Linked DNA regions of Arabidopsis thaliana. The protein of the gene in region 1 purifies or fractionates together with the protein of each later gene. This does not show direct contact. Each region holds a gene or a part of one and is shown on either strand. Other genes may lie near its edges. The genes, in order: RPN10, AT1G75990, AT5G26360 and RPN1B.

Region 1 (6,518 bases):
TATTATTTCCTCGTATATATTTAGATTTAGTTTTAAAATTGATCAAATGGTTATATACTCCAGTTGTGTGTTTGTTTTTTTGTTTTGGCCAAAAATTGGTAAGATCTCAAAAACTGGTATAATCACTTGAGAAATTATATGATCACCAAATGACAAGTTGTTGTCACTAGCACTGGGGCTTGATATATATCATATTCTGATGAAGATACAAACTCAACAATAATGGAATCAATAAGAGTTTTCTCAGGTTGCATCAACTAATGAAACAAATTTAAAGTTGGAAAAAAAAACAAAATCAGTTGAAGTCTAAAATAAAGTTGAGAACGTTTGATTAATTTCGAACATCGAGATTTAACAGTGGTTGGGTAAATATTATGAAAGTGAAGGAATAACAAAAAAAAACATGTAGAAGTTGATAGAGGAGGATGATATTTTGGAAATGAAAGAGATGGGAGAGGAGGAGTGGTGAGAACTGAAGATAAGGAAAAAGGGGAAAAGGACAAAAGGATGACCACACACACAGACACAAGTGAACAAAGACAGACGCACCTGCCTCCTCTTCCTTCTTCTTTCTAATATTATTCATTTTCATTTGTAAAGAAACGACTTTTTCAAAAGGTGTTAGGTAGATGCAATAGAAGCTTCTATCAGTTTTTCTTCTTTCTTTTTTTTTATGTTATAGTTTGTGAGTCTTGTGACTCTTTTTGTCTTTCCCTTTCTTGCTCTAAAAGGGAACAAAGAAATTTCGTCACTAATAAGTTTCCCCAATAAAAAGTCTTTAACGATAGTCATATTTAGCAATTCAATTTGTTTGTGTAGCATAGTTTACACGTACGTAGATGATCAAAACTACAGCTCGCATGTGGCAATTAGCAGACAAATACACATATCTTGGGATAAATATAAATTAAATAATGCAAATAGATTGCAATTAGCAGACTAATAAGCGCATATAAAAATTAGATTGCAAAGAACAAAAAAACGAGCCAACAGTAGAACAAAGGAATTAAGTACCTAACTGCCACGTGGGACTTTAATTACTTGGAGAAAAACATAACTTCGCAGAAATGTGAGCAAAATTTAATTACCAATGTAGACTTTTTGCACTGTCGTAAGAATATTTCAGATTTGACACTTGTGCAAGGTTCATTACGAATTTAGGACTCGCTATTCTACTGAATTGATCGAGAGACCTGTAACAAATAGGCTTACTTTCTAAGAGCCCATTGACATAAAGTCCAATAAAAATTAAGAAGGAAGCTAGTCCTTGACTCGTACAATAACAACATTATAAAAAGGCGAGAGAGAGAGAAAAAAACAAATTTCACAAGGCAGAGAGATTAGTTAAATTCAGTTCCAATCTCTATCAAACCAAAGAAACAAGAGGAATTTTTATTGAGACTCTCAGATCCTTCTTCACTTCTTCTCATCCTCGCCTTTTTTGCTACTACTCTCTTCCTCCTCGGTACGCTGTCATTTTAACCATATACATTTATCAGAATCTTCTTTTTCAAATAACAAAAAGATGTAATCATAAACATCAACAAAGACACACCTTTGACTCGTCTGGCAGAGACGCTAGTAGTTCTTTAACTGCCGGATCATTTGGATCCACCCCAGGAAGCTGCGTGTACACAAAGTCTTAGTACCAAAGCTAACCCTACTACTTTTCTCTTTCATTTTGCTTGTGAAAAAAACTGACTAAGGTTTATGTAGGCTTACCGATGAGAGAACAGACGATATGAAGGCTTGATTTCCCAAGAGGTTGTTTCCAGCACCTGTAGCTTCACTTGACTCTTCCCCACTCATTGACATTTGCAGAGCTGCACATGGAGTATAAAAAAATATAAGAAAAATGCCAATTTTGATTGCCATGGATATACTTTTACCACACTGTTCTACTTACCTAAAGCCAGATCCTGGTCCTCATCAGCCGCTTCTGACATATTCACATCACCAACAGACATAGCAATTGCCTGATCTAGCAACGCACTGTCCTCATCCTGCCACAAAAGGTTGTATGATTAACAATCTCTCCGCCTGTGACTATATAAGAATGCTACACTCAATTTTAAGTAACAACTAACCATTGGTTCAGCGTTCTTGTCAGTTGTCCTAGCAACTGTCTCCTGTGAGGCGGAAGCTGTGTCCCCATCTTTGTCTTTCTGACCTGCCTCATCGGCCGCCTTCTTGGCAGCAGCTTCTTGTCTTGCTCTCTCCTCCTCCATGGAGACCCGAAGGGCAAGAGCAAGTTCTGGATCGATATTTGGGTCCACACCAAAGTCGAAGTCCCCACCTGCGGCCGCTGCAGCAGCTGCCGCAGAAACATAGCCACTTGCACCCTCATCACCCGTGAATACAGGTGTGCTGGAAGAAAATTTAAAAGTTAAAACACTATCTATGATTCAAATCACTGTCTAAATGTTTTGTTGCAGCATTGATAAAAAGCAAGACTAGAGAGCTCAAAAGACCTAAACACACAAAACCACATGAAGTGCACCTACCAAGCCGGATATTGTTGAAACTGTTCCTTTTACAATCTACATAACCTAGAAAAAAAGAAGAAAAGGGATGGTACCTGAGAAGCACATCTGAGAGAGCATTGGCTCCAGAAGGAACATGAACAATGTGGCTACCGTCATTGTTATTCACAGCTGTAAGGAGCGCCTCGAGTTTCTGAGGCTTTTCCTCATCATCATCCTCCCCGAAATTGACAATATCAAGAGAGACACTATTCTTCTTCAGCCTTTTTCCAACTATCTCTAGGGCCTTCTTCTCGTACTTGATTGGACTAAAAAGTAGAAGCAGAAGAAAAACATCAGTATAAAACTATACAAAAGTTACTCAGCAAAAACAAAGCAATTCGGTACCTTCCAGCAAAAACAATAATCCTTTGGCGTTGATTCTTGTTTTGGCGATGCTTAAGAGCTAGCTGGGCGATCTGGATAGCTGCGGTTAAGTTGATCTCTCCTCCCACATCAAGGCCTGAAAAGATGACGCAAGTAGCAAATTGATGTCAAACTCAATGATAAAGAGAAAGAACAGATTTTTTCTAATTGCTCTAAGTAGACAGCTAATAATAAATAGAAAGATTGGAGAGAGAGATACATACCGTGCATACAGGCCAGAATTTTGCCAAGATCAGAGGTAGGAGTAGTCAATACTCTAACTCCTTTGCCAGCCATTGTCAAAATCCCCACCGTATTCTCCGGATTCGACTGCAATTGCAAAAAAGAAAGATCCCTAAAAATCACAATCTCACGCAAACCCAAAAACCCTAATCGAATCAAGTGAAAAAACGTAAATTATTACCTGGGTTTTGGCTCCGCAAAGAAGATTAACAGCTTCCGTTTGCGCCTGTAACCTAGACGGAGAGTAATCTCCGTTTCGCATCCACTCGGAGTTGTCGATACATATCATAGTCGCCTACAACAAGAAATCATCGATGAGAAAAAGCATTCAACGTGGATCATCAACGAAGATAAGCACAAGTAATTGGAAAATCACCTCGAGAACCATCGTGTCGATAAGCAGAGAGAAGCTTCAAAAATTCTGTCGTAGAGAGAAAGTCAGGAAGGCAAGATTTAGATTTTAGTTTAGACCGATAATAATAACATTGTTCTTCTTTAAATATCCCCTTTACTTTTTTACTTTCTCCTTTTAGACCCTAATGTTTTACGTTTATTTCAATTTAGCCCCAATGGTTGTTTTTGATAAAAAGCAAAACAAAGTTGATTTATTAATGAATAAAAGAAACACAGACCACATTACAGTAATTCCTATAACTAAAGTCTTTCTTTTATTCAACATTGTTACCCCATAACTCTACAAAACATCAATATAAACCCCAAGAAGACAAACCACAGTTCACCAGAGAGGAATTTACAACGGTGCTAACAAACAAAAAAAGATACAACAAGCAGAGACGTTGGATCATCTTCTGCTATGCATTAAGAGCATTTGGGATGAGAGAAGATCTTGTGCTTCTGCTGATAGGCAAGTGAACATAAACCTCGTGAACTTCCTGCTTACATACATCCCCTTTGTCTCTATCAATCGCGTAACAGACATAGATTGTGTCAATCACATCGTCAAGAACATGTACAAAGAAAGCCAATATCACAATCAGTAACACCCACGCCAGTACAGCCACCACGTACGAATCTATACCCAGGTTGCTCACTCCTCTCAGAACAGCCCATGTCTGCTTTTGCGCATCATCAAACCCCGGAATTAGTCATTATGGCAATTATTAAATGCTTGGTTGGTGAGACAAGCAGAAGATAATACTTACCGCGACTGCATATGCGGCTGACAGGACAAAGACTATTCCGGTTAGGATTCTGGTGGAAACCGTTTCGACAAATACAGCTGACAGTAGGTTGCGTCTTAACAGCTCGTAAGTCATTTTCGCAGAGGTGCAATACGCTTCCCCTGTTATTGCAGCAAAGTTGATGGTGAACTTGTTGAGATAGTCAAGGGCACCAAGTAAGGCGTTTGCACAGCAACGGAGAACCATGTTCACTATTCCTTGTGTGTTCTCTTCTCTTGCATTGTCCACAATTGCCCGGACCACACGAACAATGCATATGAGAAGTCCTGATACACATATCGTACCAAAGGATTGACCAAATGCATTCCTGAAGAGACAGATACAAAAAATAATAAGATTCACACATGCTTTGACATAAACCAACAACAGATTTGAAGACTAATGCAAATTTGGATCCTCAAAGCTATAATCTCCTTTCAAAAATACCACTGTCTGTTGTCTCTTTTCACATTTAAAGTACCAAACAAGTTCAGATGATGGATTCCAATACAATATCCAATCTATAAGGCCAAGACTATGAATACCATGACCTAGAATCACTGAATACTCCAGAACGAAGCCAAGCAAGGGATACTTCGAATGACCATAGATTATATTTTATGAGGAAACAAAACTAAGAGAACTCAAAGCAAAAACTCCCGCGATCACACAAAACATATATTAGAACTAAGAGCACCATTGATTGTAAGAGAAACTGCACAGCAAATTCATTGATAACAAGAATAAAATAGAGAAAGATGTGGCAGCGAGTCACCTCAAAGAACTCCGGATGCATTTTTTAGGGATTGAGTCTTCCTTGGAGAAATACCACTGAGCAATAGCTCCACTTATCACATACACTTGCATTTCCACCATTACAGCAAGAGACCAGATCATCGTTAAAATGGCAAGAGCGTAATACGCAGGAACCCAAGAATCTTCTTTCCACTCACAAAAGTACTGACCATCCAACTCTCGCGGCACAAACTTCCCATTAAACCTTGCAAACACCAAGAACACCACAATCGGCGCATAGTACACCACTAACCCGAGAGTCAGCAGCGGCAGCACAACAAAAAGTTTCAAATTTTTGGACAAGGCATCAGATGCAACACTGATGATTTGGATAGTAAGATCAATTCTGTGCCAATTAGCTACTATGATCCAGACAATGATCCCGATGATCAAGAAAACAAAGACTAGGACAAGTATTCTGTAAGCTAGAGGGAGGGCATCGCTACAAGAAGAGCTAAGAGTACAGGCGACAAACCAATAGACATTGAAAAAGATGGGAAAAAGGACAAAGAGAGGTAAACAAGCATAAACAATCTGCTTAGTGTAGTGTTTGAGCAAAAGCAGGACGCTAAAACAGAAGGGCACGCTTAAAATAAGCGTTACAACAAGTGTCCAGATCAAATCCTTCTCAAAGACTGGATCAGACGAAGAAACCATGCCGTACATGACACTCGAAGAAGCCCAGTAGTACCCATCCGAAATTTTCGTAAAGGTAGAATTTTTGACGCAGGAGCTAGAGGTGAAATCGTAGGTGAAGGAAGAGGAGTTCCCGTAATCGTTATTTCTATGAAAAATGGAGAAGATTCCAAAACCAAAGGTGGAGAGTACGAGAAGATCGAAGAGAAGTAGGAAAGGGATGTCCTTGAAAGTTCTTGGGCCAAAATTGTAGGAGATCTGAAGAAACTGAGTTGGGTCGGATTCGGGATCACTTCGACGCGGAGAATCGAGAGCGGACGTGGAGGGTTTAGAGAGAAGAGGGTGTGACGGAGAGGATGAGTCGTAGATTGCAGCGAATTTAGTGGGGTCGCCGTCGTCCGCCGCCATGGTCGTCCACAGAGAGAGAAGAAAGCTCCGCCTCTGGAGCTAAATGATGAAGAAGCTTAAGCAGAAGCAGAAGACGACGAAACTCAATTTAGCATTTTTTCTTAATCACAATAATTAATTAGTGACGATGCCGACGACCACCGCCCAAGCGGCCAAGCGAAGATGATCCAAGATCTCGCCACCACAATGCTCAAATTTAATTCGTTGATTAGTCACGTATACAGGTATTATACCGTCCAAAGGAGTATTATTATCTTCATGTGCATTAAAATATTAGTATAGTTTCTTTTACCAGTATTAAAAGAAAAATTCACGAAGACATTGAGACGGGCTTCGAAGAAAGTCTGATAAGAGAATTCTCAAAGCC
Region 2 (6,443 bases), on another chromosome or scaffold:
TAAGAATGGGAGGTGATCAAAATACAGAACATCATCATTAGCTTTATCCTACTCATGTATAAAAGCAAGGAAACGATGATCAAGTTATTTAAGTTATCCAACTGATTCCATAAGCAAAGTTCTTGACATTAAGAGTATAACATAAGAGCTCAAATTGTTATTGAAGGTACAGCAACAATAGAGACTCATAGCAAAAAATGAGATTTTCATTGGTTTTTGAGGATTTGTTAGAGAAGCCAATTTTCCTCTCTTATTACTTACCGTTGAATTAAGAAGCTCTGGTTGCTTAATCAATCTCTCGTTGACCTCCAAGAGAGAGCCTTTAACGCAGCACCTAGCAAAAACCAATTCAGAACAAAGACAACTTCATTTTTTTGCAAATAAGAACTTAGGACAAAGGAAAGTGAAAACAGAAAAAAGCTTTGCACACCTAACAATGTAAGTATCTTTTGCAGTGGAAACTTTGCACAATGCTGTATTCGATTCAGAGCGCAACGCATTCTACACAAGAAGAGCAAGTAAAAAACAGTAGCTAAAGCCAGAATCTAGACTCAATCAAAGACAATAAACACACAATTTCGAACTGCAAAACTTCAAGCTATAACAATTACTAAAAGTCTAAGACTCAAGAATCAAGAGAAAGCCACCTTTTTACGCTTGCCGGAGACTTTCAAGACGCTACGATCAGACTTACCAACATTGAAATCGACACTAGTGATTCCACCTTCATCCTTAAAAGCTATATGCGTAGGAGCCAATCCAATTACACACAAACTATCAAACAAACAAACACACAAGTAAGAAGAAAACCAATTTCATCATTTCAACAGCAAAAGGAACAATCTTTGACATACCCATTAGCGTGACGGTAAATATATTGATCATGACCCGATTTAGTAAAATCTGCAAAAACATTGAAAAGGGTTTAATTCACTTCACACTATCAAAAGGGGTTTTGAAAAACACTAAACAGTAGGTGAATCTGAGAACCTGTGATGAAGTAAGAAACAAAATTGACTTGTGTAGCTGAAGGAGGAGAAATCGGAAGTTCTCCAATATCTGAAAGCAGAAGCTTTCTCAATTCGTCTTCCTCTTCATCTTCTTGTGTAGCTAGCTGCTGCTTCTGTTGGTCGTCGCAATCTTCTACTTCGTCGTTTCTCTTTGGGTTAGTTAATTCGATTGTATCCTCAATTTCTGGAAACTTCGCTACATCAAGCTTCAGAATCTCCATTGTTTCGACTGTTTAACCTTTGACGGCGAAAAAACAATCGGAGTTACTTCGCCGATTTGTAATTACATAACTAATGGGCCTAAAGGCCCATCTACTGATCTTGGGTTTGAATCATGTTCATGTTCTTCTATATTACTAACTTCACTTCTTCAGTGAATTTATTTACCAGAATTTTGATCCCAATGTGGACTTGTGATAAAGTTTGAGATTTTGTTTTTTCATAAAGTAAAAGAACTGATGTGCATAATAACAAGAAAAAGTCAGATAATTCAAAATAACAAAAGTGTTAACAGACAAAAACAGTAGAATTTGAAACAAATCTAGAAATCATCATCGTCTTCCTCAGCCATGTATTTAGCGAGCTCCTCTTCTTGCTGTTTCATCTCCCTTCTTTTCTCCTCGCTCTCTTTCTCCCTGTGCGTGTTTGGCGGGAACCTCAGTGCTCTAACCGCTTCATTGTGCATATTCAAACAGAAGGCAATCCTCGAGTTAAACGCAGTCTGTGGTTCATTAGTGGAGTAGATGTCTCCTGTTTCCTTGGAGACCATACAACCGTTCTTGTGGTCGATGGTTGCGTCGATTGCTCCATCTCTAATGGCTTTAGCGACGATGCTTTCTGCATCAGCCACTGGGTTCGCTGAGTTCAGTCTCAGCTTTTGAGCAACATCCTGTAGAGAGATTCTGGAGTAGGAAATGCTGATGTTGCGCAGTCCTGTTCTGATCACGTTGTGTCGGAGTCTGACTATGAGGTTGTGAGTCCTGTCTTCCGCAAATGTTTTGGCAAACTTCTCTTGGATTTTCCCGAACAGCTCCAAGTCACCAATTCTCACAGCCTTACAAAATTTAAACAAGAGTATTAGCAAGAAAACCTTAATTAAAGCATATGTTAGAAATGTAAAAAAGATTGAACTCACGTTGGTCAGCTCAAAATATGGCCTAAGAGTCTTCTCCATTCCTTTCTGAGTGAAGATAGATCGTTCAGGTATTTCACCCAACAACAGCCGAACTATGATAGCCCACTTGTTGCACTGGATTCTGAATCCCAGAGATGCAACAGGTGCTTTCCTAGCAGCTTGGAGGAGACTCTCTTTTGCATCGGTGTACTCAAGTTGAATCGTCCTGATCTTGCCAAGGTAAAACAAGTACCTACAAAACTGTAAATTTATATAACGAGATGAGTATCGTTTCTAGTTGAAACATGTGAATGTAGTTTGGAGAAATTCACAGTGAAAAGTTGGCATTAGTAAGCATCAGAGAGGTTGGCATAAGTAAGCATCACAATTAACTTAGAATTAGAAACTAGAATGTATGAAAGGGTTACCTGTTGGTTAGAGTGTGCCTCAAATCGAGGCGCTTTTGATCTCAACTTCTCTGCTTGGTCGTACAGGTTGTAGTGTAGATAATTGCGAAGCAACAGATTCAAAAGTGTTTCCTGGCCCAATTCGTCGTGGCGCAGTGTGGCCGAATGGTGAAGAGCAAGAAGAGTACTGCAACAGAAAGAGAGACAAGTTAATAAGATAATTGAGTGTTGAACTAATATGATAAAAGTTGAAAGATGACTGTGAACTTGTACTCACCTACGTATCTCTGCAAGATCATTAGTTAGCTCGTAACTTAAGGAGTAGTAAAAATACAATTTGGAAGCAATGACATCAACGGTTCTCCTGTTTACGCTTTTGAGGCGAGCAATGCTAGCGGTAGAACAAACTTTGGCCTGAAAGCAAAGAAAGTAAAACAATGAAGACCACAGCAAGATTTATAAATAAAGTATGTCAGTTAGAGAGATAGAGAAGAAGTAAACCTCGTTGTACTTTTTCTGATCAATGAGAAAAAGAAGAACAATGAAGTAGCAGTAAATCTCGAGCTCTGCAGGTAGATGCTTAGGAGGAGCTTGGGAATTCGATGATGCTGTATCAACTTCCATGTCATGTTCATCACTCTGTACCAATATTATAAATTCCATCAAATTAAGGGCAAACACTAATACATGAATCTAATTACAGATCCTAGATAAGCTCGTAATCAAAGTGGACAAGTGAAGCTACACATACCTTCGGCACAAAAGAAGAGAGACGAGTGTGAGCTTCAGATCCAGGAACCAAAGCGAAATCAAGGAAAGAAGAGATCACGGAACCCGTGAGCTTCCTTCGTAGTCCAACGGTGAGACGCACAGCACGAGCAATACGACGGACTTCCTTTGTATAAGATCCAGTATCAATCAGAGCTGCAATCTCCTTCAAATCTGGAGAAAAAAAAAAGCAGTACAACGAATTCAATTTTGAAACAAACCTAGCAATGTGAGATTAAGAGAAACTGAAGCATAAGATAGAGATTTACTCTGTAGCGTGGAGGTAGGAGCAGAGACGACGGATTGCGTTGGGGTTTGGTTATCTTTCATCTCTACGTCCTGAGTCATCTTTTTCGCAAATCTCAAGTCGTCTTCTTCTTGACGAAGGTAAATTAAAAATTGATTTGAAAAGAGCAGGGCTTAACGCACACATAAGTACTCTTATGTTTTCCTTTTTCTTTTCCTAGACAGAAATTACCAAATTATATTTGGGAAAAATGTTGTTTTATACGCGAACTTTCAAAAAGTAGCTATTCTATACGTGAACTCTGACGTCGGCCAAAATAAACATGAAAAATACGTTGACCAGCCATTTTAACAGAAACAAAATGTTGACCTCGCCAAAATCCCGAGACGTTAACTCGCTGATTAACCCCGTTAAGAGAACGTTAATGAATTCTGTTAAGACCAAAACGCCGTCGTTTCAAACCTAACGAAACAAATCAAAATGCCCAAATCGAAAACTCAATCCCTAATTCTCTCAAACCAAATCCCTAATTCTCTCATTGGTAAAATCGTGTTTGTTCTTCGATTAATCTTGTTGTGATTGCCTTAGCAATAGAAGGCGAAGTCGACATTGCTCCTGTTCCACCACGACGAGTAGCTGAAACCGGAGATGGAGTTTGATGGTGGAGTTCTAGCTTTGCCGGCTGTTGTTGTAGCAGAGTCTTCTGTCGGAGTTGAAGCTCAAAGAAGATAGATTGAGAGAAGTTGGATATAAGAAATCGATTTGGGGAAGATGAAGACTTAGGGTTTGAGTTTTCGATTTGGGGATTTTGTTTTGTTTCGTTTAGAACAAAACGACACCGTTTCGGCTTTAACAGAGTTTATTAACGTGCTGTTAACGGGGTTAATTGGGTCTGTTAATGCGAGTTAACGTCTCGGGATTTTGGCCAGGTCAACGTTTTGTTTCTGTTAAAATGGCTGGTCAACGTATTTTTCATATTTATTTTGGCCGACGTCAGAGTTCACGTATAAAATGGCCACTTTTTGAAAGTTCGTATATAAAACAACATTTTTCCCAATTATATTTTTCCATTTTATTTTTTTCTTTCCCTTGAAGGCAGATATTATCTTGTTTGTTAATACTATTAATGTCATTAATTAGAACATCAAAGTCGTTGTAGTATAGTGGTAAGTATTCCCGCCTGTCACGCGGGTGACCCGGGTTCGATCCCCGGCAACGGCGCTAACATTTTTTTATCGAGTAAATCTATTGTTAATACGGTGTCGACGAGTCTATGAGCTTCCTTTCCTTTGTTGTGTCTGTCTCATTAGAATTTTGAAGATCAACCCAAATTCGAGAATCGATGGTTTCTGGCTTTCTACTTCCATTTTTTTTCTCTCTCTGTGTAAATCTGCTTCCATTTGTGAGTTATTTTCGTTATAATGTTATATAAGAATTCAACTTTGCAAGGGTACTTGTTGGAAATAAAAGAATCAACTGTTCCATCACATTAAAACTGATAACCAAAGAAAAGAGGTAATTTGTCCAAACTGTGTCTCACTCTCACCTAAACAAAACTACAAAACAGAGGAAAAAAGAAAAGAAAAGAGGATGCCTCAGTAGTTCTTCTCTAACAAAAACCCAAGACGACGACCAACCATAAAATAAATTGAACATATATTCCTAAGCGACTCTAAACAAAACAGACCACAAGCTAAAACACTGTCAATCAATGGATAGTAAAAAAAAAAGAAGGGGAATGAGATACACTTATGGCAAACATGTCTTCTTGATGGACAGAAGAAGCAAACATAGAAAGAAAGTGAGAGAACAAGGAGATAGAAAAAAAACATCCAACGACTTGGGCTTTTTTCTTCTTTTTATGTTTGTGTAAGAGAAACCTCACTCTCAAGCAGCTGCCTGGACTGGTGGTCCATCTGATCTGTTGTTGAAACCACCATCACCACCACGTCCTCCTCCTCTTCCACGTCCTCCCCTTCCACGTCCACGTCCACGCCCTGCATCAAACCAATTCAAAACTCATGGCTTCTTCACACAATTACAGTTCAAGAACCAGGTAAAAGAATACAGAATGTTTTAATTTATTTTACCACGACCCTGAGGACCATCATAACCACCACGGCCCTGAGAAGGACCATCATAACCACCACGGCCCTGAGAAGGACCATCATAACCACCACGGCCTTGAGAAGGACCATCATAACCACCACGGCCCTGAGGAGGACCATCATAACCACGGCGACCCTGAGGACCATCGTAACCACCGCGACCCTGAGGACCATCGTAACCACCACGGCCCTGAGGAGGGGCATCATAACCACCACGGTCATCATATCCACGGTGTTCATGAGGAGCATCGTAACCGTAACCTCCATCTTGTGGTGCATCATACTCATTCGGAGGACCATTGTATCCTCCTCTTCCACGACCACGACTGCTGCGTCCTCTGCCACGTCCTCTTCCTCTACCATAGGACTGCTCACGTTCCCAACCTCCATCTTCATGCTCAACGTTCACATAAGCATTTCCTGACAGCAAAAAAAAAAAGACTTTATTCATGAATCATATGTTCAAAATCAATATTCAACGTTCACTAAGCCAGATGATCTATGTAGGGCATTTTTAAGGTAATCTAACCTCTGCCACCTCGCCCCCTTCCTCTTCCCCTTCCTCTTCCTCTTCCCCTCCCTCTGCCACCAGGTGAACCCTCTGCAAGAAAAGTGAAAAAGGACACTAATAAAGAAAGCAAGTACAAGGGAGATTCAGAATAACACAGAGAGTGTTGTTGACAAACCTCGTCCTTCATAATCAATATCGCCCATTGGCTTCACCAACTCAATAGGAATTGGGCACTGGTACCTGAAAGATCATTTGATTAGAATTATTAGAATAAGAAG
Region 3 (7,636 bases), on another chromosome or scaffold:
TTTTCCAAACAAAAACTAAACGAAAGATTTTAAAGCGAAAAGAAATAAACCTAGGTATTGTTCGGACAAATTAAATAACCGAAGTATTAAACGGGCAAATTAAAAATATATGAGGTTTTTTTAGAGTTTTTTCCCATATAAAATGTATAAGAAAACGATAGTATATGATTAAAATAGTATTATCTACTGCTAATAAAAGAAACAATTTGAGGCTTCTCAAGTCATCCTCATCATCATTCCAAAAATCATTTTAGAGATGCCACATCATATTTTCTTTTAAATACTCTCTCTAAATGCAATGTCACCAAATTATTAAAAAAAAATTTAGAAAACAAAAAATAAATAATGTTTTAATAAATATTACTAGAAAAAATAAGTGTTGATTTTTTTACTTCAAAAACAAAAGCAAATTAAATGCTTAAAATAAAATATTATTTTTTTCTTGGATTTCAATTAAAATGGTTTAAACTAACAAAACTAAATAAAAGAAACTTAATATTTTTATAATTTATTTCTGAGATCACAAAGTCCAATTTTTCAATGACAGTTTTTATAAAATTTAGGTAATATAAATTATTAGTTGACAAAAAAGAAGGTAATGTAATTCATTATTTTAATTAAAAAATCAAAAAATCAAATTTACGTTAATTACAAATAACTAATTTTGAAAATATTAACGAATCTTTATACATAATAAGAACTATTAACTTTTTTTATTTAATAAATGATTAGTATATATGCAGAATTGAACAATATGCTACCAATCTAATAATACAAAATTAGCTTTTACAAATAAATTTTACAAATTATCCACCCATTGAGTTTAATACGTTTACTATACATAATTCCAACTAATGAACTAAACCCAACAAAAGAAAATCCAATAATTATTCAAAACAAAACCTCAAAGAAATGAAAAAATAAAAAAGTCTTGTGAAAACAAACCCATTTATTTTGAGTTAAGAAAAACTATTTATATTACAATCATCTTTAATAAAATAAAATAAAAATAAAAGGTGATTCAGTTTCATTTTAAATAACACAAATAGATAGTATATAAAAATATAAGTAATTCAAACTAATTTTCTATTTAGATATAGCAAATTTAAAAAAAAATATATGAACTAAAAACAATACAAAAAACAGAAATAAAATTTTAAAATAAATTTGGGCGTAGCCCGTATTTCCTCTAGTTTACTGTAAAATTAGATCAAGATCAACATAACTAAACTTTCAATTTTCATTTAACTAGCGAAGTTTAAAGGTTTTCAGTAACAAAACCAACCCGTATAAATAAATTCGGACCGAGTCAACCTGAATAATAACCCAAAACTCTAAATAACAGATCCGTACGTCTGAAATGCAATTAATGGTGTTCAAACAAAAACACAATTTGACACTAACCGGTCAACTAAAGATCCAGTTGAAGTACATACTTGATGATATTCAAACAAAAACGACACAAACTAAAAAAGTCTCTAGTGCCAGAAATTTCAAAAAGACAATAACAACTAGCACTCTAAAAACCAACAAAGTGACTACGAAAATTCAAAAAAGCTAATATTCCAAAACAAACAAAAAAAAACCACCCTCGAAAATCTTATCTCACCAAGTCAAACTGCAGAATTAAAAGATATGTCAAGGGAAGATAATAGCCAAAAGAGTGCAACCATTAAACAAGTGAAAACAGAGATTGAGTTATGCTGAGACCAAAGTGTTTCTCCCTTCGCTTAGTCGGGAAGAATTTGTTCGTTGTCTGCATCTCCTTCTGTCTCAATGGTAGGCTTTGAAGGTCCAGATCCAGGAGCTTGCTTCTTCTTGATTCCACTCACTATATCATCGATCCTTAGAAGCATACACGCTGCTTCTATAGCCGTCTTGAAAGTTTGCGCCTTCACATTGTACGAATCCCATATCTGGAAAATTGTTAAAAGCTTTTAGTCAACTCTCTGAGTCACATTGGTTTCATGTTGTGAGAATCAACCAAGGTTATGTGATTTAATCCTTACCTTGCTCTCTTTCATATCAGCTATTGCACCAGTGTTCCCGTCAATACCAGTCCATGCGTTTTCACCATTTGCATGCTGCACCAAAACCGACAATTGAAGCATTGAGAAAAGAGTTGGTATATACTTAAACAACGGGCAAGAGATGGCAGTTGGGGTTCATTAGTACAGGACAGTACCTTCCCTTGCAATGCAGTCATAGTACGGATCACGTTAACCCCACAGTTTTGAGCCAGGGTACGTGGAATAGCCTCGAAAGCAATGGCAGCTGCTTCATAAGGCCACTGTTTAAATAAGATTCAGACCAACAAAAGAACATTTATCAGCGACCGTGGGAACAGCATACTCGTTTTAGAGGCTCGATATAGATTTGACACAAAATCACACAACTTTAGGCAAGGAAACAAAATGTAATAAAAGCAAAACCGACCTTTTCTATGCCTTCAATTGTTGCACTCTTCTGTTTTAATGTGGCAGAAACGGTTAGCTCTGTGGCTCCTCCACCAGGAACTAGCTTTGGGTTTTTGATAATGTTTCTTGCAACAGACATGGCATCCTGTAGGGACAATGTTTCAGGCATATAAGGTTATGAATGATTAAGAAATACAGATTTGTAAATAACACCAACGAACCTGTAAATTTCTTTCCACTTCATTGATGAAATCTTTACTTGGTCCCCTTAAGAGTACAGTACAGGCTTTGGGTTCTTTGCAATCAACAATGAAAGAAAAGAAATCATCTCCAATTTTCTTGACCTCAAACAAGCCAGCCCCAGTACCGATATCAGACTCCTGCAGTTCGTCGGGCCTGTTCACAATTACTGCTCCACAAGCCTTGGCGATTCTGTTGTTGTCAGTTTTTCTCAACCTTCGGATTGCACTTACCCCAGCTTTACTGAAATAGTGACAGGCCAAGTCACTAAGACCCTTCTCTGTGATAACCAAATCAGGCTTGAACTTTAGTATTTGAACGCAAATGTTCTCGATATATTCCTCTTCCAACTTCAACAACACTTCCCAGTCCTCTTCTCTAACCAACTCAGCATTGGTTTGATTTTCACCTTTCTTGTACTCAAGAGGACAGTCAAGAAGAATAATCCGTGGGTTGACAATCTTTCTTTTCATTTTACCAGGAGCAACAACATCTTTGTTAAACATAACTCCTTTAAGAACCTCAGAGTCCTCGAACTGACCACCAGGAACTTTCTCAACCTTGATGTACTTTTTAATGTCTACCTCCCTCAAACCTTGTCCAAGATCAACACCAACAGTAGTAGTGGCATCAATAGCCAAATCCTAAAACAGTACATAAAGTCATATAAAATCATGTGAGTACCAACGACAATCAAACTTGTAGAACTTCATACTACAAGTATTTCAACAATCGAAAACCACCAAAAGAATTGAAGAAAGCAGTCATCAAATTCAAGTTATTTCATGGTTACTCATCTTACATTTAAAAAGTCACTTCAAGATGTATGCTGTATCTATACCTACTTGTCTAGACATATCCAATATATATTAAGGAGCAATAAAACCTGGACTGGTAATGCATAAGTAAGAAGCTACTGTAATTACGGTACTTACCGCAATAAGATCTCCAAATTGGCTAGTGAACTTTGTCCCTATGCAGCTCTTGACTAATCCTAGCACTTGTGAACCTGCAACTCACACATTCTTCCATCAGTACAAACGTGAAAGAAAAACTAACTTCAGAAACCAAAGTAGCTGAAGGTCAACTCCAAATGAACAAATACAAGGTAGAAATGGACTTACGGTCATTGATATCAATTGACATAGCAATTTTGTCAAGAACAGCAATAGAATCTTCGAGAGCCTTGATGTAAGCTGCAGAGAAGAATGCATTCGTTAAGATGAAAACGACATGTGTAACATGACAACAATAAGCAATTCATAGTGCCAGCATACCTCGGCATATGACTGTGGGATGGTAATTCTTCTCAAGAAACGCTTCTGCAACGTGAAGCATTTCACCAGCTGTTGGCAAAAAGCAAACAAAAAGAGGACTTCAAGAACCCATGATTATAAACAGAGATCATGATGTTGAACTGAATACTGCAGCACCCATAATATCCTTAAGTAATTTGTTTGTGCTTTAGTTAAAAATACATTAAAACTGGTCCAAACCAAGCCATTGACAAACTATTTGTTAGCAAAAAAGAATGTTCGTACCTAGAACAATAACAGACGTTGTCCCATCACCAACTTCTTCATCTTGCGTACGGCTCAACTCAATCATTGACTGCAATCACCAGAGTCAAAAATGGATAAGTAAAACAATTTTAACAAGAACAATAGATAGAGAAAGGTCAGAAGTAAAACCTTAGCTGCAGGATGAGCGACATCTAGCTCACGAAGAATAGCATTCCCATCATTAGTAACAACAATCCCTGTAAAGATCCAAGAAACAAAGAGGGGTAAGATATGATGATAACACACAGATTAAGAAAAATTAAAGGTAGACAGAAAAAAAAAAAAAACAAGACAAACAGAACCCAAATATTGATTTAGGGTTTATATAAAACTAACACCGAAACTGAAGAACAATAGCTTCAACAAAGAACGAGTACATAAGAAAAACATTTCCAAAGCTAAAAACACTAAACCTAATTCCCTCACTACAGAGATCTACTACCCACATACAGAGATATGAAAAGCCTAAAAAAAAGAGGAAGTGTTTAGAAAAAGACCTCCACCAGCATCAAGAAGCATCTTCAACATAGAACGAGGACCCAATGTTGTACGAATGATATCAGCAACAGCCTGTACCACAAAAACAACGATGATCTGAAACCAGAGGAGAGAAGCAACAAGCATCACAGAGAAAAAGAGCCATAGAAAAGGATTAATTTACCTTGGAAGCTTGGATATTACCATGATGAACCTTACTTCCAGATTCACGCTTCAACGAATCGCCTAAACCATTTTCACAAAAGGAGTTAATCTCGTTACCAAAAAACTAATATCGATTTAGAGGAAATGAGATCTGGAGGAAGATGGAGATACTCACTCAGAACGAGTACCGGTGCGTGCATATTTGCGATCTGAGGTTTTCACAGTGAAGAAGAAGCTTAGAGAGACACGGCGAGTGATTTTCAAAGAGCGGCAAGTGGAAGATCCTACTGCCTTCTCCGATTTCTTTCATCCTCTCTCGTGCTTTTCATTTTAGGTTGAGAAGCCCATCCCTAAGGCCCATTAACTAATATTTCACACATTGGGCCTTTTTGTAAGATCAAAACAAAGTAATAGTATTTTTATATCCGGAAGATTAGGTAAAGATGCGTGAGAACGGGAGAATTGTTAACCTAATTTGTTAAGAGGGAAAAAATACAAAAAATACTTCATTTATTTTTAATTTGTCCGTTTAATACATGCGTTATTTAATTTACCTGTTTAATATTTAAGTTAATTTTTATGTTTATTGAAAACCTTTTTTTTTTTTTTAATTTTAGCAAAATCAGACATCCGAGTTAACGGGCGTTAACAGTGGTAACGAAATCGCTAACTGTAGTTAAAACTTAACCATATAATGTTTACTATTTATATACAATTTGTTTTCTAATAATTATGAACATATTATTTTAGTCGAGTGGTTATGAGAGAGATTACCATCATCATCGATTCAAAATCGATTATCATCTCCAAAATTTTTTTTGATTTTTTTTCTTTTTTTTTTAACAAAAAGGCAAAATCGAAGTCAGCCATCTCTTTCACTTCAACAGGCTTTGCACTTGTGTGTTGCTTCACTTCTTTCTCCAAAGGATATTGCACCAAAATCAATCACCAACCAAAAGTCCCAAATGTTAGACCAATTAATACAACATAGATTTGTGATAATCGATCTTATTTGTTATCAACAGATGCAATTAATGGTAACATAATCTTTCTATAAGCTATCAACGTTACTAACAATGAAAAACAAAGTCTGGATTTTTCAACGCAAAATATCAGCAAAAACTGGGAATATGCAATCTTTGCTGACTTATTCATATCAATCGATCTAGAAATTGAAAACCTTAATATGAATTGAAGAGATGAAGGAATCTAATTTAGCTCGTTCTCAAAATCGAATTGAAGCAGATCTAACAAACGTGGTGCTAAACAAAAGAAAGTCTCAGAATCAAATTCAAAATCGTAACTCGGATTACTGAGATTTTGCCTTTTGTTAAAAAAAAAAATCAAAAAATTTGTTGGAGATGAGAATCGATCTCGAACTGATGAGGATGATAATCTCTCTCAAAACCACTGGGACTAAGATAATATGATCATAACTATTAGAAAACAAATTGTATATAAATAGTAAACATTATATGGTTAAGTTTTAACTGCGGTTAGCGATTCCGTTACCATTGTTAACGCCCGTTAACTCGCATGTCTGATTTTGCCAAAATTTAAAAAAATGAAGGTTTTTAATGAACATAAAAATTAACTTAGGTATTAAACGGCCAAATTAAATAACGCAGGTATGAACAAATTAAAAATAAATGGAGTTTTTTTTGGTTTTTTTCCTCTGTTAATAGTATAATCTCCCTCGACCTAATCCATCTCCCGTCAGAAAGTTGTTCCAAACTCTTCAGTGTTATCATCTTTTCCTTTTAAGATTATTTTTGTCAAGTCTACTTCTTATAACAAGAGTAAGTGCTTTCCCTCCTGTTTTAGGTTTTTGTAATTTGGTTCGCTAATTTATTTGATTTCTCATTTGTGTTTGTTTCGTTTCCCTGAATTTTTCTTCCTTTGATTTTTCAGATTACAGACTTTGAGACTCTTAGTTTTTACTAAGACACAGTGTGATCAAAGAAATAGGCCCATCTTTGTTTTATAGAATTCTTTGTAATCAGGTTGTGTTGAACCTTGTTATGTAGGCTATAGTTTTTGCTTTGAAAGCCATGTATGACTCTGAACTATTACTCAATTTTTTAAAGTAATGTGGGATTTTTTCTACTTATTTTTTTTCTTCATCGATTGAGTAGTATATGTGTGTTTTTAAAATTTTGAATTACCTCATATGCAGAAAAAACTAATATATTTTTAACTATATGTATTATATATATCAAATAAAAATAAATTAGATATAAGAACAAATAAAAATGAAAGAAAAATCATATATTTATTATTAATGTAGATATATAGATTTTAGGAAATTAGCAATTAATTGAATGTAATTTAATAAATATAAAAATTAATTAAAGATTTAAATTTAAAATAAAATATTTTTAGATAAATTTTGTAGGGACTAAAAAAGAAATAAAGAAAATAGTTAATTCAAGTATTTAATGCAAATTAACGATTTGTAAATTTTTAAGAATATAACATTTTGGTTGAGATAGAATTTATAAAAACTCATATGTTATTAGTAAATATTAGAGAGATTTTTGATCAAAAAGTGCATCAAAAATATATATATAAATACTTTTATTTTAATTTCAAAAGAAAAACATTACCTAATACGTATCTTATTCCTAGGACATTTATGATTGATCTATCTTTACGTATTTTTTACGAAAAGAATGGTTTAAGATTGAAGAAGAGTTAAATATTTTTATTTATTCTTTCAAAAATATTAAATAATCAATAAAAATCATATTTAGAAGATATTTTATGGACATGTGA
Region 4 (9,178 bases), 4.0 Mb from region 1:
GGCATCAGCTAGTGAGACTTTCTGTGTGACAATCAGGTCGTTGCCCTCACGGGTAAACACTGGATGGGGTTTCTCGTCAATGATGAAGACTAGATCCGCTGGAATCACACCTGGATGCTCATTGCCTTTCTCTGGGAATGTGATCTTTGTGCCTTTCTTCCACCCGGGTTTCACTCCAATCGTTAGAATCTCTTCCACTTGCATTGCCTTACTGCATTTACCAGAAGACAGATATTAGATATTGTTAAGACAACAACTAGGGTCAGCTCAAATCAACAATTAACCATATGGAAGCTGGGGAATGTTGCAGAATCTAAAAGCTTGAAACTTTGTTTCATATATGTTCATCATACTTGGGACTTGGGAGGTTGTATATTTCTAAAACCATGCTCTAGGTTGACTAGTAGATAAGCCTAATAACAAAATGTTATAAGTGTGATCGAAATGGTATCTGAGTTCAATCACTTACCCGCTGACATCTACAATCTCCCTGGAGATCTTCATCTTCTTGGTGGTTCCTTTGTAGAGATCTTCAAGGCTACAAGGCAACTTGTTCTCGATAGGAGCCACTTTCCTAGCTGCAGCGTGATGATGATGATGGTGATGATGATGCATAGCTCCTCCTCCACCTGCTCCTTCACCAAACGAGGCATACATATCATCACCAAACATGCGGCTAGCGAATCTCTGCCCTCCAGTGCCACCACCACCGCCACCAAACGGGGTCGAGAACCCGAAAAACTCAGCGAATATATCATCTGCACTTCTCGGGTTGAATCTGAAAGACGAAGATCCATCTCCTGTTGAGAAGTAGGATGCTCCACTAGTAGCAGCATTGGGAGGTGGCACATTCCCTTTTAACCCTTCCTCACCGTATTGATCATATACAGCTCTCTTTTGAGGATCGCTAAGAACCTAATCATCTCACAACAAAAACCAACATTAGCCTCATAAAAGCCTGAGTCAAATCAAACAATCTTAGTATGTTCCTCATAATCCTAAGCTACACATTGACAAGTACAGAGTGCCTAAGAGGTTCTCAATAATCAATCACAGAGTTAAGAAAACGGATAAATCATGACTCAGAAGATCAGCAAAGAAAGCACAAATTAAGAGCTTTGGAGATAACCTAGCTTGCCCAAATATAAAGCAATCATCTTTTACTATATACTATGATTCGAATTACTCAGGGACACGAAATCTAAAAACCCCACGAACCAACACAACATCAAATCGTGAAATCAGACTAATTGCATCTCATATCAAAAATCAGAAACAAGTTCGTGACCACCGACAGTATCAAGGGAATGAAAATTTCTCAATAGAAATAAAAATCAAAACTTTAGGGACGATTTCAATAAAGCAAAAGCAGTGGAGGAATCAAACACATACATCGTAGGCCTCAGAGATCTGCTTGAACTTAGCCTCAGCGTCTTTTTTGTTGTTAGGGTTCTTATCAGGATGCCATTTCATAGCGAGTTTTCTATAAGCTTTCTTAAGGTCATCGTCGTTAGCGCTTCTATCAACCTGTAAAACCTTGTAATAATCAACTCCCATCTCACCTTCTTCTTCTTTGTCTTCTCTCTTTCGTTTCTTCACTTTTCCTGAATTCGATTAAACAAAAAAAAGGAATTGGTAATTTCTGGATTTCTTGTTCGTCTCAGGTCTCTTCTTCTTCTTTGGCTTAGTATATCTCGTGGAAGGTTCGAGAAAACACGATCTTTGTTTGTCTCCGTTGACGGGGAGGTGACGGTGTTTTAAATCACAGCTTTGCCATCTTGCCTCTTCCCTTCTCCATTTCTTTTCCTTTTCTTCTTTTATTATCGCTCAAGTAATTCAGATTCTCCCATTTATATTATTAATTATAAAAACAATTAAATGTTATTTCCTCTTTCATTATGTGAAGGTATATGTTTGAGTTCGACTAATATTGCTAACTTTACCATAAAAGAACATGTCGACTAAGACATGTAACGTATTTATATAAATGTTGCTATTATTATGTTGTTCGAATTTAAATCCGATCGAATTAGTTGCTTCGAATTTAAATTGATCAAATGTAAATCCGATAAAATAGATGTTTTTGGAGTCCTTTATTTTGTGATTGGCTATATCGCCCAAATAAAATAAATTTTAAAGTGTTGATTATATATAGAGATGTTTGCCAAAGACAAGGTGTTTTATATAGAGACCATAGTAGAATACTATGGCCCAATGAATAGCCCAATTTATTATGGGCTGAGCCCACAATGGAATTCTTGATCGAGGGGTAATCTTCTTCCGTATAAGTACTTTTTTTTATCTGATAGTATTTATTTTTTACAGTTGAACCTTTTTGCTACAGTTCCTGAAGAAAAGCATAGTTCTTCTCTAACGAGCCATTCCAGAGAGACTTAGGGTTTACGCGAGAGCTCATAAGATAGAAGCTGCTCGATTCTTCCGAGTTTTACGAATTTCGATACTCATTGTTTGGATTCGTTGATTTGATCAGGTGATAGTCTGACTTACAATGGCTCCAGTTCCGGATCCGAACAGTGTTGGCGGTGGTGCGAAGCGGGACGAAGCTACGACGAAGATTCCTTCTAAGGATTCCAAGAAGAAAGATGATAAAAAGGAAGAGGATCTGGTGAGTTTTCTTTATATCGATTTCGATTATTAGTTGGAATCGTGCTTAGCTGAGTTAGAAAGAATCCAGGGAGATCGGAAAAAACTCACGATTAAGCTGTAGATTTTCCGAGATGTACGGTTTAGCTGATATATTGTGAATGTCGCATTGCTATTTAGAAAGCGAGGTTAAGAAGTTGGTTAAATCCACATTATAACTCGTTCTGGGAAGATACAATTCTTGTTAGGGTTTAAGTCACATGGAGTTAAATTAATAGGAATCTTTTGTACTATGGCTATGGTTTTAGCTGGTTTGATTGGCAGCTGACTCAATTTGCATATGATGTTATTGTAGTCTGAAGAGGACTTGCAACTAAAGCAGAATCTGGAGCTCTATGTTGAGAGAGTTCAGGACCCCAATCCTGAGTTACAGAAGATTGCTCTTGAAAGCATGAGGTAGTTTTTGTATCTCTTAAACCCATCCTTGATTTGATTAGATGCAAATATTCTGATAATTTTCTATTGGAGTTTCTTTAATGGGCTTATGACACTTCTTTTGCTGCTTTTAGTGCTTTCACTGTTTTCATAGTCTAATCTTGATCGATCTCTTTTGGTATGTAGGAAGGAAATTCGTGACTCAACAAGCTCCATGACATCAGTTCCAAAACCCCTCAAGTTTCTCCGCCCTCATTATGGAGTTCTTAAAGAATTTCATGCAAAAATGGCAGAGTCTGATCTCAAAGTACGATTTCAAACATTTTAAGTCATTTCTCATCAACACCGTCTTAGTCGTTCTACTGAGTCTGGATTATAAGATCGCACTCGTTTTTGCAGAAAATGTTGGCTGATATACTTTCTGTCCTGGCACTGACCATGTCTGCTGAAGGTGAAAGGGTATGCTTTCTTGCTACTGTTGTAGGAGTTTCTTGCCTATTGCTATTTGCTTCACATTCATTTAACTAGATTCCCTTTTGTTTTCCTCTTATGATATGCCTTACCAGATTTGTGTTTTGTGGTTCTTGGTAGAATTTGACTTAAGCTATTTGTTGCTGATCCTTTGTTATGCAATACTCTTTCAGGAAAGCTTAAACTATAGGTTGAATGGATCAGAGAGTGACATCGGATCGTGGGGTCACGAGTATGTCAGGAATTTGGCTGGAGAGATTGCAAAAGAGTATACAATACGTCAGGTTAGTAAACAATTTGGTCTTTGGCAATGTTCTTTAGCTCGAGGAGTTTCACTCATATTCTGGCAACGTCATGGATATTATGGTTTGTTAATGAATATTATGACAATGGGCTCGTTACTGAATATGGTTATAATGCTCATTCTTTTTGTTATATCAGGGTGAAGAGTCCTCTATTGAAGACTTAATGGATCTTGTGCAGCAAATTGTTTCTTTTCACATGAAGGTGAGATCCTTGTCATTCTTACTTTTCTTGTAATAACAAGGGGTCCATTGTATATTAATATAAGTTTCATTGATAGGCGTGAAATTTGCGCCTCTTGTTTTGTTCACATTTTTGAAGGATTCCCTTTTGTTCTTTGCAGCATAATGCCGAAACCGAAGCTGTTGACCTTTTAATGGATGTTGAGGATCTTGATCTCTTACTTGAGCATGTTGACAATACAAATTTCAGGAGGACGTGCAACTATCTCACGAGTGCAGCAAAGTAATTTCAATATGTTTAGCTTATTCATTCGACTGGCGTTTCACCCTTAATTATGTTATTTTCATATGAGACAAGCTCTCATGAGCTTTGCTTGGTTATCTTGCACATTATCAGTCCCGTTGATATTGTATGTTTTTTTCCAGGTATCTTCCAGGACCAGATGACATGTTGGTTCTAGATATTGCTTACATGATCTACATTAAGTTTGCAGAATATCCAAACGCGCTGCAAATTGCATTATTTCTTGATAACATGCAGGTATGGTTCTAATCTTCATATAAAACTTAATATCCTCTTTCTGCAACATGGGAGCAGCTGGGAAAAGCTCTTCTTTAACTTATGTATTTTTCTTATGATATATATTTTTCCTTTGTGCAGTATGTGAAGCAAGTATTTACCTCATGTACCGATCTGGTAAAAAAGAAACAGTTCTGCTACATGATTGCACGTCATGTAAGTTCTTAATAATTTAAATTAGCATAAAGGTGCAGTACCTGATTTTTTATTTTCTTATATTTATTTTTCTCTTGTTATTTCTCCATGCAGGGTATGACCTTTGAGCTTGACCAAGAGATGGTTGCAAATGACGAAGACAAAGAAGCGCTACAGGATATTGTTAACAACTCTAAGTTGAGTGAAGGATATCTGACGCTTGCTAGGGATATTGAGGTCATGGAGGCCAAGACGCCTGAAGACATCTACAAGGTATATCAGTTTAATTGAATATTATGTCTGTTACTGGTTTATTTGGTTACAGGATATGTTTATGGAAGTGCCTCTTACCTGTCCACTGAAATTTGCAGGCTCACTTGCTTGATGGTAGGGCTAGCTCTGGTCCAAGTGTGGACTCAGCTAGGCAAAATCTATCTGCGACTTTTGTGAATGCATTTGTAAATGCTGGATTCGGCCAGGTATGATTACAGGATCTTAATGTGCAACATAAGAAGAACTTTGGAAGCTGCCCTTTTCATATATTTCCTTATTGCAGGACAAATTAATGACAGTACCATCTGACTCAACCAGTGGATCGGCTGGAAACTGGCTCTTCAAAAATAAAGAACATGGAAAGACCAGTGCAGTTGCTAGTCTGGTATACCTCATCTTACTTGATAAATTGATTAGCTATGTTTTTATTTTGGAAGTAAAATTGTAACACGAACTTGTTTTAACAACAATTCTAGGGTATGATTCAATTGTGGGATGTGGAGACCGGACTAGGTCATCTCGACAAATATTTCCATAGTAACGATAATCCCGTCGTTGCTGGAGCTCTGCTGGGAGTTGGGATTGTTAATTGTGGCATTAAGAATGATTGTGACCCTGTGAGTTTTTTTTTTTTTTTAATATGGGAACCTCTGTGTCACAATTTTTCGCCATTCATTCTCACTCAGCTCTCTTTCTCAGGCATTTGCCCTTCTTTCAGGTTATATTGACAATGAGGATTCATCTGTCCGAATTGGTGCTATTATGGGTCTCGGGATTGCATATGCGGGTTCCCAAAATGATCAGGTGAATACATGTTATCTTCTTACCTATGGTGCTAAGTTGAATGTTCTGTTGACGAGACAATAACATGCTCACTGTTTGGATAGATAAAAATCAGGTTGTCTCCAATACTAAATGATGCCAACGCACCTCTCGATGTGATTGCATTTGCTGCACTTAGTTTGGGGATGATTTATGTTGGTTCGTGTAACGAAGAGGTTGCACAATCTATTATATTTGCTTTGATGGATCGGAGCGAGGCAGAGCTGGGTGAAGCCCTCACTCGTTTCTTGCCTCTTGGACTTGGTCTTTTGTACCTTGGCAAACAGGTGGGCAGCCAGTCATACTTGATTATTTTTCTTGTTCGTGTACTTGATCGTTATTTCCCCGATTATTAGTTTTAACTTGTTCCAATATCGAGCAGGAAAGTGTGGAGGCTACTGCAGAAGTTTCAAAGACGTTCAATGAGAAAATCAGAAAGTATTGTGATATGACACTTCTTTCATGTGCATATGCTGGAACCGGGAATGTCCTTAAGGTATCTGATCAAGTGTGCTAGTGGTTGAATTAGATTATTCACTTCTTTCTAGTTTAGTCTGACTCTTCAAACTATTCAAACTATTCAGGTCCAAGACCTTCTGGCTCAGTGTGGAGAGCATCTGGTGAAAGGTGATATCCACCAGGGTCCAGCTGTGATTGGATTAGCTATGGTTGCTATGTCTGAGGAATTGGGTCTGGATATGGAGATCCGTTCTTTGGAGCGCGTACTACAGTATGGAGAGCAGAACATTCGACGTGCAGTGCCTTTGGCTCTTGGTCTCCTATGTATATCAAACCCAAAGGTGAGTATTATTTTTGCATATCTAGTTTTCGGCGGCGTGCAGTTACTTTTCTGCTTAAGAATACTGTTGTTACTCTCTAACTTTTTTATAATTCCAGGTGACTGTTATGGACACTTTGAGCAGACTAAGCCATGACACAGATTCAGAAGTTGCAATGGTGAGTTATCTTTTCGCCACTCATGGTTGAGGTAGAGTAGTTATTTCTTTGACTTGCTATGCAGCGTTGGACTGATGTTTCATCTGATTCCTACAGGCAGCAATTATCTCCCTTGGATTGATAGGCGCTGGAACCAACAATGCAAGGATAGCTGGCATGCTTAGAAATCTCTCCAGCTATTATTACAAGGATGCCAGCCTTCTTTTCTGTGTAACGTTTTATGATTTCTTTTTAAGTTTTCATGGAATAAACACGGTTTCTACTTATGATAGGCTTGTTCTCATTGTCTTAAGTCACAATGCAGGTGCGCATCGCTCAAGGGTTTGTGCATATGGGAAAGGGTCTCTTAACTCTCAATCCTTTCCACTCCGAACGGCTCTTGCTATCGCCGTAAGTTATAACATATATTTTATGTATACTTTGCTTTCAAAGCTCCACCTTGTGAATCCTAAACTTGGGTGTTGTATTTTGTACCTAGAACCGCACTTGCTGGTATAGTGACATTGTTGCATGCATGCCTTGACATGAAATCCATTATACTGGGGAAATATCACTATGTGCTCTACTTCCTTGTTTTGGCGATGCAGGTGAGTGCAATTTTCTGTCTGATGACTTTTTTTTTAATGAACTAAGTTTATCTACTAACACAATACGGTTTGAGTGTGTAGCCAAGGATGATGCTGACGGTGGATCAGAGCCTGAAGCCCATCTCGGTGCCAGTGCGGGTAGGACAAGCGGTTGATGTGGTTGGACAGGCAGGCCGACCTAAGACAATCACTGGGTTCCAAACGCACTCAACACCTGTTCTCCTTGCTGCTGGGGAGAGAGCTGAACTCGCAACCGAGAAGTATGTTGTTCCTCTAATCCCCTTGTTACATTATCCTACTCGAAATAAAACTCTGTTTTACATATTGGAATCTAAAAAAACTCTGCTTCTTTTTGGGTCACAGGTACATTCCGTTGTCGCCCATATTAGAAGGTTTCGTCATATTGAAGGAAAATCCAGACTACAGAGAGGAGTAAATCCAAAGTTGCAAGCATTTGAAGAAAGAGAGAGAGCCTTTGAATACTTTCACTACGGTTGTCAAAAGTTTTTTAGTTTATTCCCGTCTGTTCCCAGGAAATGGTTCACAATCTCTCCTTTTAAAAGAAAAAATAGCTTCATTGCAATATATAGGAACTTCTTGTGCACTACTTTAATATCGCATTCTAAAAGCTGGATAAGTTTCCAAATCCAATTCTCTTAACCTGCAACTCCTTCAAATCAACTCGTTCGACGTTTCTATAAACTTGGCTTATTGATTATGGGCTCTTTGGTTTGCTGCCCTGGAACTTCAAGTTCTTGGTTTGTACGCACTCCAACTTCAATTTGTGACATGCAAAGGCTCCTCTCGTTGTTTCCGGATTTGGCCAAAACTATGTAATATTATTAAAATGTTGAAAGGGTGACCCAGCTAGCCCGGCTACATATTTACAATTTTACATAGATGGCGTGCACGACTCACTTGTTTCCTCGGTGTATCTTTTTTTTTTTTTTTTGAATAAGTTCGTTCCCAAACATAAACCAGAAGTATAAAATCTTATTAAAATTAGCAACCAGCAAAAGCAAAAATCATGTACATGTATATTGAGGGTTTTAGTTTCTGTCACTAACTATATGAACTTTGCCTAAAGAAAAAAAAAACAAATAATGAAATAAATGAATGGAATACAGTTTTCACCGTTTGTTCTGGTATACATATGGGGTATATCGAGATTAATTAATCTCCTCCGGCCAGGAAAAAAAAAGTAAAAAAGGAAAATTTAATGGCCGCGACCTCTTGGACTTGGACCCGACGCCAAACGCTGAAACCAAGAATCCACCGTCGATTTCATCTTCTCCACCGTCATAGTCGCACTTCCATCTCCCGATTTTTCAGTAAGAACCCTCCCCGCCGCAGCCGGAACCACCACGTGTTCTACGAAAAACAACGACACCATCACAACCACAATCAAAACAGTAGACCAACTAACTCTTCTCATCGTATTTTACTTTCTCTTCTTTATGTTGTACCGACAAGTAATAAAATAAAACAGAAGCCTTTTTTTTGTTTGATATCAAAGAAAATTAAGAGATATGGTTATGTGGGAAATCAAATAAATGAGAGGGAATATTTATAGTTATTTGACGAGGAAGCGGTCATGACTTGAGAGAGTTCATCACTTAGGTCGGGTTTTCCCGGCGCTAGCTCACGATTTTGCGTGTTGACCAAGTATTATGACTTGAACGGGTCGCTCTTATGACACTTTACGATGTGCCAAATTACATTTATACCCATTTTGGTGGTTTTTAGTTTTTTAGAGGTAAAAAATAATCAATGAGAATTTTGTTAACGAAATTATATTTACACATAAATTTTTTAAAAACAAGTGTTTT

What was found.
Region 2: the proteins of RPN10 (region 1) and AT1G75990 fractionate together in Arabidopsis thaliana (co-fractionation; one large-scale study listed by BioGRID). This does not show direct contact.
Region 3: the proteins of RPN10 (region 1) and AT5G26360 fractionate together in Arabidopsis thaliana (co-fractionation; one large-scale study listed by BioGRID). This does not show direct contact.
Region 4: the proteins of RPN10 (region 1) and RPN1B fractionate together in Arabidopsis thaliana (co-fractionation; one large-scale study listed by BioGRID). This does not show direct contact.

Annotation. Positions count from the first base shown.
Region 1 is NC_003075.7:18,055,941-18,062,458, forward strand, and holds RPN10 (regulatory particle non-ATPase 10), read right to left. Parts: upstream 3,659-6,518; 5' UTR 3,520-3,658; coding exon 3,508-3,519; intron 3,427-3,507; coding exon 3,313-3,426; intron 3,219-3,312; coding exon 3,113-3,218; intron 2,986-3,112; coding exon 2,871-2,985; intron 2,792-2,870; coding exon 2,579-2,791; intron 2,368-2,578; coding exon 2,088-2,367; intron 2,004-2,087; coding exon 1,907-2,003; intron 1,824-1,906; coding exon 1,723-1,823; intron 1,625-1,722; coding exon 1,556-1,624; intron 1,471-1,555; coding exon 1,417-1,470; 3' UTR 1,048-1,416; downstream 1-1,047. Other genes in the region: AT4G38640 (Plasma-membrane choline transporter family protein), read right to left, coding at 3,944-4,204, 4,295-4,640, 5,088-6,151. UniProt on the Arabidopsis thaliana protein: Plays a role in maintaining the structural integrity of the 19S regulatory particle (RP), subcomplex of the 26S proteasome.
Region 2 is NC_003070.9:28,523,072-28,529,514, forward strand, and holds AT1G75990 (PAM domain (PCI/PINT associated module) protein), read right to left. Parts: upstream 3,778-6,443; 5' UTR 3,648-3,777; coding exon 3,569-3,647; intron 3,474-3,568; coding exon 3,283-3,473; intron 3,171-3,282; coding exon 3,033-3,170; intron 2,946-3,032; coding exon 2,809-2,945; intron 2,719-2,808; coding exon 2,553-2,718; intron 2,386-2,552; coding exon 2,146-2,385; intron 2,065-2,145; coding exon 1,552-2,064; 3' UTR 1,333-1,551; downstream 1-1,332. Other genes in the region: AT1G75980 (Single hybrid motif superfamily protein), read right to left, coding at 262-334, 431-501, 648-774, 855-903, 991-1,231; AT1G76010 (Alba DNA/RNA-binding protein), read right to left, coding at 5,434-5,543, 5,637-6,074, 6,184-6,255, 6,341-6,405. UniProt on the Arabidopsis thaliana protein: Acts as a regulatory subunit of the 26 proteasome which is involved in the ATP-dependent degradation of ubiquitinated proteins.
Region 3 is NC_003076.8:9,253,831-9,261,466, forward strand, and holds AT5G26360 (TCP-1/cpn60 chaperonin family protein), read right to left. Parts: upstream 5,199-7,636; 5' UTR 5,062-5,198; coding exon 5,037-5,061; intron 4,943-5,036; coding exon 4,881-4,942; intron 4,790-4,880; coding exon 4,717-4,789; intron 4,417-4,716; coding exon 4,349-4,416; intron 4,269-4,348; coding exon 4,199-4,268; intron 4,004-4,198; coding exon 3,935-4,003; intron 3,854-3,934; coding exon 3,782-3,853; intron 3,667-3,781; coding exon 3,593-3,666; intron 3,302-3,592; coding exon 2,639-3,301; intron 2,563-2,638; coding exon 2,437-2,562; intron 2,291-2,436; coding exon 2,186-2,290; intron 2,085-2,185; coding exon 2,010-2,084; intron 1,917-2,009; coding exon 1,731-1,916; 3' UTR 1,223-1,730; downstream 1-1,222. UniProt on the Arabidopsis thaliana protein: Molecular chaperone; assists the folding of proteins upon ATP hydrolysis. Known to play a role, in vitro, in the folding of actin and tubulin.
Region 4 is NC_003075.7:14,065,689-14,074,866, reverse strand, and holds RPN1B (26S proteasome regulatory subunit S2 1B), read left to right. Parts: upstream 1-2,284; 5' UTR 2,285-2,509; coding exon 2,510-2,626; intron 2,627-2,959; coding exon 2,960-3,060; intron 3,061-3,225; coding exon 3,226-3,346; intron 3,347-3,438; coding exon 3,439-3,498; intron 3,499-3,683; coding exon 3,684-3,794; intron 3,795-3,951; coding exon 3,952-4,017; intron 4,018-4,156; coding exon 4,157-4,278; intron 4,279-4,421; coding exon 4,422-4,536; intron 4,537-4,656; coding exon 4,657-4,731; intron 4,732-4,824; coding exon 4,825-4,983; intron 4,984-5,081; coding exon 5,082-5,189; intron 5,190-5,266; coding exon 5,267-5,368; intron 5,369-5,459; coding exon 5,460-5,600; intron 5,601-5,682; coding exon 5,683-5,787; intron 5,788-5,870; coding exon 5,871-6,092; intron 6,093-6,187; coding exon 6,188-6,301; intron 6,302-6,389; coding exon 6,390-6,605; intron 6,606-6,702; coding exon 6,703-6,762; intron 6,763-6,858; coding exon 6,859-6,972; intron 6,973-7,066; and 9 more. Other genes in the region: AT4G28480 (DNAJ heat shock family protein), read right to left, coding at 1-211, 470-915, 1,393-1,557; AT4G28460 (uncharacterized protein), read right to left, coding at 8,566-8,784. UniProt on the Arabidopsis thaliana protein: Acts as a regulatory subunit of the 26 proteasome which is involved in the ATP-dependent degradation of ubiquitinated proteins.